2 linked regions of the Notamacropus eugenii genome follow. The main gene of each other region encodes a partner of the protein of the gene in region 2 in a complex. Links are inferred from orthologs where the notes say so. Each region holds a gene or a part of one and is shown on either strand. Other genes may lie near its edges. The genes, in order: UBE2J1 and HERPUD1.

Evidence for each region.
Region 1: HERPUD1 (region 2) and UBE2J1 share a complex: the UniProt entries of both Homo sapiens proteins name them as parts of the HRD1 complex. The link is inferred for Notamacropus eugenii from reciprocal best matches to the Homo sapiens genes HERPUD1 and UBE2J1.

Annotation. Positions count from the first base shown.
Region 1 is NC_092873.1:163,063,645-163,067,554, reverse strand, and holds the start of UBE2J1 (ubiquitin-conjugating enzyme E2 J1), read left to right. Parts: upstream 1-982; 5' UTR 983-1,537; coding exon 1,538-1,568; intron 1,569-3,910. UniProt on the Homo sapiens protein: Catalyzes the covalent attachment of ubiquitin to other proteins. Functions in the selective degradation of misfolded membrane proteins from the endoplasmic reticulum (ERAD) and is essential for cells to recover from ER stress.
Region 2 is NC_092872.1:474,463,643-474,467,552, reverse strand, and holds the start of HERPUD1 (homocysteine-responsive endoplasmic reticulum-resident ubiquitin-like domain member 1 protein), read right to left. Parts: upstream 2,443-3,910; 5' UTR 2,233-2,442; coding exon 2,098-2,232; exon of another isoform or gene 2,011-2,097; intron 1,686-2,010; exon of another isoform or gene 1,585-1,685; intron 1,317-1,584; exon of another isoform or gene 1-1,316. UniProt on the Homo sapiens protein: Component of the endoplasmic reticulum quality control (ERQC) system also called ER-associated degradation (ERAD) involved in ubiquitin-dependent degradation of misfolded endoplasmic reticulum proteins.

The sequences.
Region 1 (3,910 bases), on a different chromosome or scaffold from region 2:
CCCATTTTGTTGTTGTTGGTCTGACTCTGTGACTCCATTTAGGGTTTTCTTGGCAAAAAGACTGGAGTGGTTTGTCATTTTCTTCACCAGCCCATTTTACAGATGAGGAAACTGAGGCAAACAGGTTTAAGTGACTTTCTCAGGGTCACACAGCTAGTAAATGTCTGAGGCTGGATTTGAAGTCATTAAGAGGAATCTTCCTGACTCTAGGGCCAGCACTCTTCTCATCTAGCTGCCTCTACTTTACCCCCCAACCTCCAGAAGCCATTTAAATCTTTTTGACTGATAGCTTTTGTTACTGTCACCTACATTCTTCACATATCCCCCTCCCAGAGGGCTATCCTTCACGGTAAATTCTATAAAACTAACCAACGCACCCAAAGTCCCATGTTCTATGCAATTGGACGCAGTCACAGTCTCCCACTTAGCACAGTGCCTGGTACATGGTATAAATGTCTGTTGATTTCCGCCTCCCTTCTTTGGGGTCAAGCTTGGTCCTACTTCTCAGCATTCAGTTTCCATCCATTTTTCTTTGTGCTATTTACATAGCTGTTGCTACTTAATCTCTGGTCAGTTTCCTCATCTATGAAACAAAAAGTGTCAGCTTCCATGAAGGGTTCGTAAAATCTGGTTTCAAGGGCCAAAAAAATAAATTCATCTTCATTTCAATAACCTGTTTTCCGCTGTAATTCCATATGCCTTATTTTATATTATATAAAACCATTATTTGGAGAATGGGTCTATAGGCTTCATTCACCACAGGGCCAAAGAAAGAAGGTTTGGCGAACGCGCCTCCCTTTAGTTACTATGTTACCTCGGGCGTGTCACTTTCCCTCCTCTGGACCTCAGTTTCCTCCCTCGCACAGTGAGGGGCGGGGTGGGTGGGTTAGACTCTACCGAGGACGGATCTCGGACTAGCCCGACCGAGTCTCCCTGGCCTGCAGCGAGCGCGGGAGGCGGCCCGGAAGCGTGACCACGTCGGGCCCACGGCCCGCCACGAAGTGACTGCCACGTCAGGATAACTTCACAAACCGAGCGCGGGGCAGGGAGCGCGACACCCGGCCCCGCATTGGGGGCGACGGGGGCGGGCGGGCACGGCGGCGGGACAACGGAAGCTCAGGCCGCGGCCCCACCCCCGGCTCTCCAAGCCTGCGACGGCCCGCAAGGGCCGGGCCTCCAGGCGGGGGCCGGGCGGGGCGGAGACGCAGGGCGGGACACTAGCCGGGCGGGCCCGGCGCAGGCAGCGAGGCGGATCCCCAGGAGGCGGAGCGGAAGGAGGCGGTGGCGGCGCGCGGAAGGAGGCGTTGGCGCGGCGGGCGGAGCGCAGGCAGGGAGGCGGAGCCACAGTCCCCGCCGCCGTCGCCGCCGCCAACGCTGCGTATCCCTGGCGCTCGCTGGGGCCGCCGGGGGCGGGGACTGGGGGACGCGGCTTCCCCGGCTCAGGAAATCCCCGGGGCCGGAGCCGGGGCCAGCAGCCCGTCGCGGAGCCGGGGAGCAGGAGGCGGTGGCGGGGCCGGAGCGGGACGGCAAAGCCACCATGGAGACCCGCTACAACCTCAAGAGCCCAGGTAGGGAAGGAAGCAGCCGCTCCCCTCCATCTCCCAGCACGCATGCGCGGGCGGACGGACGGACAGACGGACTGGCAGCCGGGGAGGCCTTGGGCCGCCGCCCCGCCACCTGTCACCGCCCGAGGGCCCCCTTCCTTACTCTAGTCGGATGTCCGGCCTGTCCTGGGCATGACCCCTCGGAGTCACCCGGGACCCGGGGAGCCGTCCGCTCGTCCACTGGCCGGCCCAGCCCGAGCTTATGGAGAGAGGGCCCTGCCTCCACCTCCCGACCTCGGCCTCACCCCACTTGGCCTTCTCCATTTCTTTTTCCTCTCCTCCTCATCCTTTTTAAAGGGGCGGCACCCTAGAGGCCGCAGGACACTGTGGGACCCCCCCGCAGGGCGCCCGCGCCGCCTCCTCGGGCTGCTGCCCTCGGACTGGACACTTCCCGGGCAACTTGGCCGCCCCGCCTTCTTGGCCGTGGTCGGGGGTGCTGGTCCGTGTGCGCGCTGGACGAGGCGTCTGCGGGGAAGTGCGGGAGAGACGGGAGAGGGGTCTGTGGCAGGTCTGGACCTGGACCCGCTCCCCAAGGAGAGCGCCTTGGTGAGGAGGAAGTCGGAGGACCCCTTGTGCCCTTGTGCAGCTCCCTTACTCTGCCCGGACCTCAGTGCCCTCCGCTGTAAAATAGTGGCGTTTCAGCAGGAGAACCCCAAAGGTCGCCTCCATCCCCCAAAGCTGTGATCCCCTGAAGATGTGGAGCTTGGAGCACCTACTGCCTGGGTGACCTTGGGGAGCTCACCTATCCTTTCTGGGTTTTAGTTTCCTCGTCTGTAAAACGAGGGAGTTGACCTAGATCTAGGATTCTTAAGCCGGAGTCGGATAGATTTTTTGTTTTGAAGTGGGGCTGGGTCTTAGGAACTTGGATGGGGAAACACATTGTCTATATTTTCACAAACTTTTGACTGAAATACAGTATTTCCTTCAATTATTTAAAAGGAGTCCATGACACAGAAAAGATTAAAAACTCCTGTTTTTAGAGTCATTTTCAGCTCTTAAATATTCCTTTGGTCTTACGTTGTTAGAGTCCACCACGGTTTTTCAACTTGAAAGCTTTTACTCATAGCATTTTCTAATAGATTATCTTTAGGTATTTGCCTTCCAACCCTGTCTGTGAAGTGAGTAGTGTGACTATATACATATATATAAGCTGGATGAATCCTAAGGTCCTATTAAACCCTGAAACCTTATAGGTCATCTATTTCATGCTACTTCATATGTTTGTTGTTGTGTTTGTACTTCATATATGTACATATTTTACATATGTGTATGTAGCTGTATTTATCTACCTGTCTACCTACCTACCCTTGGGATAAAGGATAATTGGGTTCCTGTCCTGTATTGAACACATCCTGGCTGTGGGATTCTCTAGGAGTGACCTAATCTCAAATACTGATACTGTAAGTTGCAGATCAGGTGTCTGCAGTTTTAGAGGGAATTTCCTCATCTGCAGTTGGAAACCATAGCTCCAGACTGTCCTGACCCTCAAACATATCAATCCATATCCAGTGTTTGAGAATGAGGGGGAAGTGGAAAAAGTCCACTGATAAGAATCAGTGAACAGGCACTTAAGTGCCCACTATGCCAGGCACTGTTCAAAGCCAAGATAAACAATGGAGTTTACATGTTAGCACTGTAGCTCACATGATAGTGATTATTATTCATGTACAGTGCTTTGAGGTTTTCAAAATGTTTTATACACATTATCTCGTTTAATCATCATGTTTACTCTGTTAGGTAAGTGCAACAATTATTCCATTTTTATAGATGAGGATACTGAGGTTCAGAGAGGTTAAGGTGATTTGCCCAGGGTCAAAGGTATTGTGTCTCAGAGTCAAGAGTTAAGTCTCAGAGTCTTCCTGACTCTAAGGCAGGTTCTCTTATAATATCTCTCAGTATAAATTTACCTTTTTAACAGATGAGGAAGGAGAGACCCAGAAAAATGAAATCTCTTATGGTCATATAGCTCTTAGGCCCTGACTTGAAACAGGAACCCAAAATTCTAAACTGCCAAGTCCAGAATTATTTCCACTGCAGAGTGCCTCCTGTGTAACTACATACATACCTATGTAGGCTCCCTTCATCAGGGGAGAAGGAATTCAAAGCAGTAAGTAACCCTGATGCCACTACTCCAGTCCCTTCTACAAATCCTTGGGCATATATACAGTAGAACATAGATGAATGCCTGTGAAAGAGCTGCGCCTTCATAAGTGTCTGTTGATTGATCACCAGGTACTGCCATTGCACTGGCAAAATTTGTGAAATGGTAAAAAAAAACAATGCAGTTTAAGTTTAATCTTTAGGAA
Region 2 (3,910 bases):
AAACTCAGAAAACTGAGCACCATTTTGTATTTTGATGTTTACAGGCTACTATGACCAAAGAATTTCTCATCCAGGAGTCCGCCTTCTGGGGATGAAATGAGTCTCGAGTGGCTGAGCTGTGCCAGAAAACTGACATAATCTGTTGCTGGGACTCTCCTCCAAGTCTTTTCTGGCAGAGACTCTCAAGAGGTTGTGCTTTGTTGACTAAGCCTTCAAGAACCCAGAGTCACCTAAGCAATGCAGTAGGAGTTTCAGGCATTTATAAACTTGAAAGTTCCATAAATACCAGCTCAAAACAGTACCTGGCATAGAGCATGGAGTATTTAATAAATTCTTGTGGCTTTACCTTACCTATCATTACTCTATGTCACTAATTAATATATTTAACAAAATCACAAAATCGAATGTTTTCTTACAAAACAAAAAATGGCAAACGATTTTGAACAATAAGCCAAACTAAATCTTGAAGCCTGGAAAGAAAGTAACTGCATTAAAGCAAAGGAAAAAATAACTACCCAGATGTTCTTAAGTTTCAGAAAGTTTTAACTTCTTTCTTCTTAACTTTAAATAAAATTGAATGTATTGTGCTGTAACAGTTTCTAAAACAGATATTCTGTAATCCTTTCCTGCCACCTTGGTTCTTTTTGCTCCCCATAATTAAGAATTATATAATTGGAAGCAAACACTACTATTGCCTATTACATAAGGCCACAGGGTAAATAAACAAAGGCTCCAACAACTCATACATGATCACATGAGGGAGGAAGGGCTTCAGATAAAAGGAAAGGTTGACAACACACCCAAACAAGAGAAGACACTGCCATCATGGCACAAAGTCCCATTGCTTCAGAAAGAGTTCATCTCAGATAACCACCCAAACAAGAAAATGCCTCTGTACCAGCAAGAACAAGGACCTAGCTAGGTACACAGCAACTGGAATAAGGAGCCAGGAGAAAGGAAGGTGGGAGAGAGGAGAGCAGACTTTTCAAGCCAAGTCTTTCCCAGTGAGGGTAAACCCAGGATTGTCATAGTATCAATACTGAGAAGGATGAAGACAAGTCAGTGTTAACACTGAAAAGGATTTGGAGACCTGCCCACTGTTTGTCTATAAATTTGCAGACACAATTATGTAACAGATGACACAAAGAACATTAAGAAACTTTATAATTTTTTAAAGAACTATGTTGAGGACATTGGAGAACATCTAATCCAGCCACTTCTTTTACTCGGGAAAAAACTGAGGTCAAAGAAGGGTGAAGCTCAAGGTCACAGAGTCCTGGGGCAGAACTGGAACCAGAAACCCAGGCTCCTGGATTCCCTGCTTTTCTGCCCCCACCCCACCCCCATTCCTCTAGTACTGTTTCCGCTCCGTGGGGGTGGAACAGGGAAAGATTTGGGTTGGAGAAAGGCGGACAAGTGGGCTGAGGCAGATGGAGGATGAAGAACTAGGGTGAGAGGTGGATTGGGTGGATGGGTGGGAGGGAGAGAGACTGAAGGACATCTAGGTGGAGAGGTTACTGGAAAGGACAGACTCCAGGAGGATGAGGAACTGCAGGGAGTTAAGAGGGAAGCAGATGAGAATTGTGAGGGGGAGGGAATGGAAGAGTTAAGGGAAGTGGACTGGAGCGAGGAGATGGAGGAGAGGAAGAGGAGGCGGTAGAGGCCGACAGCAAGGAGGAGACCTGGTGAGAAAACACAGATCTTCGGAGGTGGGGGAATTGTGGAGGAAGACAGGCATGGAAGTTGGGAGACATGAAGGCGGGGAAGGGGTGACAGGAAGGGAGTTAGCGAGCAGCAGAGAGGAGGAAAGGGAATTGCGGGCAAGGCGCGGCGGGGGGACTCGGTGACAAATGGACAAGAAGGCAGGGGACAGTTGCTGACCAGAGGGAAAGGGGCGGGTGGGGGTGGGGGAGGACGGCGGGGGGAAGAGGAACAGCAGAAACAGGTGACAGCTGCTGCAGAATCGGGGAGAGGCCTAGCCGATCTCTAAGGTTCCCCCCACCCCCTCAGCTCTGAATCGCCCCTTGGGAGCGGCGCAGAGGCCAGGCCAGGCCGAGAGCGCAGGGAAGCAAGCTGGGCCATGTCCCCCGGCCTCACCGGTCGCTCGGGGTAGACGCGGCTCAGGTGAGCCTTGAGGCGGCCCACGCTCCAGTTCAGGTCCCCGCTCAGCTCCAGGTCCCGGTGCCGCTGGTTGGGGCTCTTCACCAAGAGGGTCACAGGCTCGGGCTCCATGTCTTCTGGGTTCCCAAGGCTCGGCTCGGCCCGCAGCGGCCTGAGCGGACAGACTAGAGGGCGGTGCCGCCGCCTCTGCTCCCACCCTAGCCTGAGACAAACAGCCGAACGAACGACAGTTTCCTGCTCTGGTGCGCGCGACCCCAACCCAGCCGCCTTTTATGGGCAGCCCCTCCCCGCCTCTGCGAACGAATACACTGGATACACTGTGGCTGAAGTCTATTGGCTGAAGCCGAGGGTCAGCCCCAACGTGGCCCAATCGGAGCGCAGATCCACGAATGGGGAAGAGAAGCTGGGCTGCTGTTCCTAGCCGCTGGACCAAGTAGGGCGGGGCCGAGAGGAACTCTGAGGACAGACTGATGCAAGAGCCTGGAGTTGCGTCACCCTGGAGCACAGTGAGGCTTAGGACTGGGACTTGGGGCTCAGGGGCGTTGAGGCTGGTTTTCCTTGAACCTCGTCCCATCAGGCGGCTGAACTCTGAAGTGACCATGGCCAGTATCCCAGCCTGCGTCCACAGCCTCGAAATCTCTTTGAATGGTTTCGTCATAATGCATAATCCTTGCCCTGCCAGCCCCCTGACCACAGACGATCCCCCGACCTGCCTTAGATGATACCTTTGCCCTTTGTTTCAAAACCCTTCTGTCTGATTTTTTGGCAAATTTCCTCACATGTTCATAAAGCATTTTTATCTGGATCCCTACTTTGACACGGTTACTTCCTACCTTCTAGTATATGTTATCTGTGTAGATAGATGTTAGTTAGCTCCTTGTGACTTCGTTGTCTTTGTCAATCCAGAGCCTTGCGGTGCTTTACTCATACCTGGTGCTTGACAAACGTTTATGACGTCAGATTGAACTTGGTGGTTCAGCCCACAGGCCTTCAAGGGCTAGTGTGTCAGAAAAGACAAAGGCTATGCCGGTCTTAAGAAATCCCAAAGTCATAGTATAGGAGAATTTAGACCTTGGAAGGATCTTAGGAATCATCTCATTTCAAAGAGGCAGAAACAAAGTGAGGGGAAGTAATTTGACCAAAACTGCACAAGGAGTTAAGTAGGGTGACCTTGGAGACCCTGGTTTTTAGCTGGATTTGCCACTTGTATATTATCTACATGACCTCATCAGATCACTCAACCTTCCTAGGCTTCACAGCTTTCTCACCTGTAAAATGAGTGTGTTGAACTAGAGAGCCTCTGAGATTCTTATGGTAGAGTAGTGATTCAAACCCAGATTCCAAATCCCAAATTAATGGGTGTTTTCCACTACATCTGAATGGTCTTAATCTAGGAATACCATTCTTTGAAACAGGGTTTCTTAACCTTTGTGTGTGCATGTCATGGACCTGTTTAGCAGTCTTGTAAACACTATAGATCTCTTGTCAGAATCACGTTTTTAAATACATAAAATAAAATACATAAAATTGCAATGGAAATAAATTATATTGAAACACAGTTATCAAAATATTTAAGAAACAAAGTCACCATCTTCAGGATAAGACTACCTGATTTTAAAGATTTGCTGACAGAGTTCTTTCCTCCAAACAGTTGCCAAATTCATATTCCTAAAGCACAGGTCTGAGGATGTTTTTCCCTTGCTCAAGATACTTTGTTACAAAATACAGACTCCTTTGTTTGGAGCTTAAAGCTCTTCACAATAAGGACACAATCCACCTTTCTGGCCTT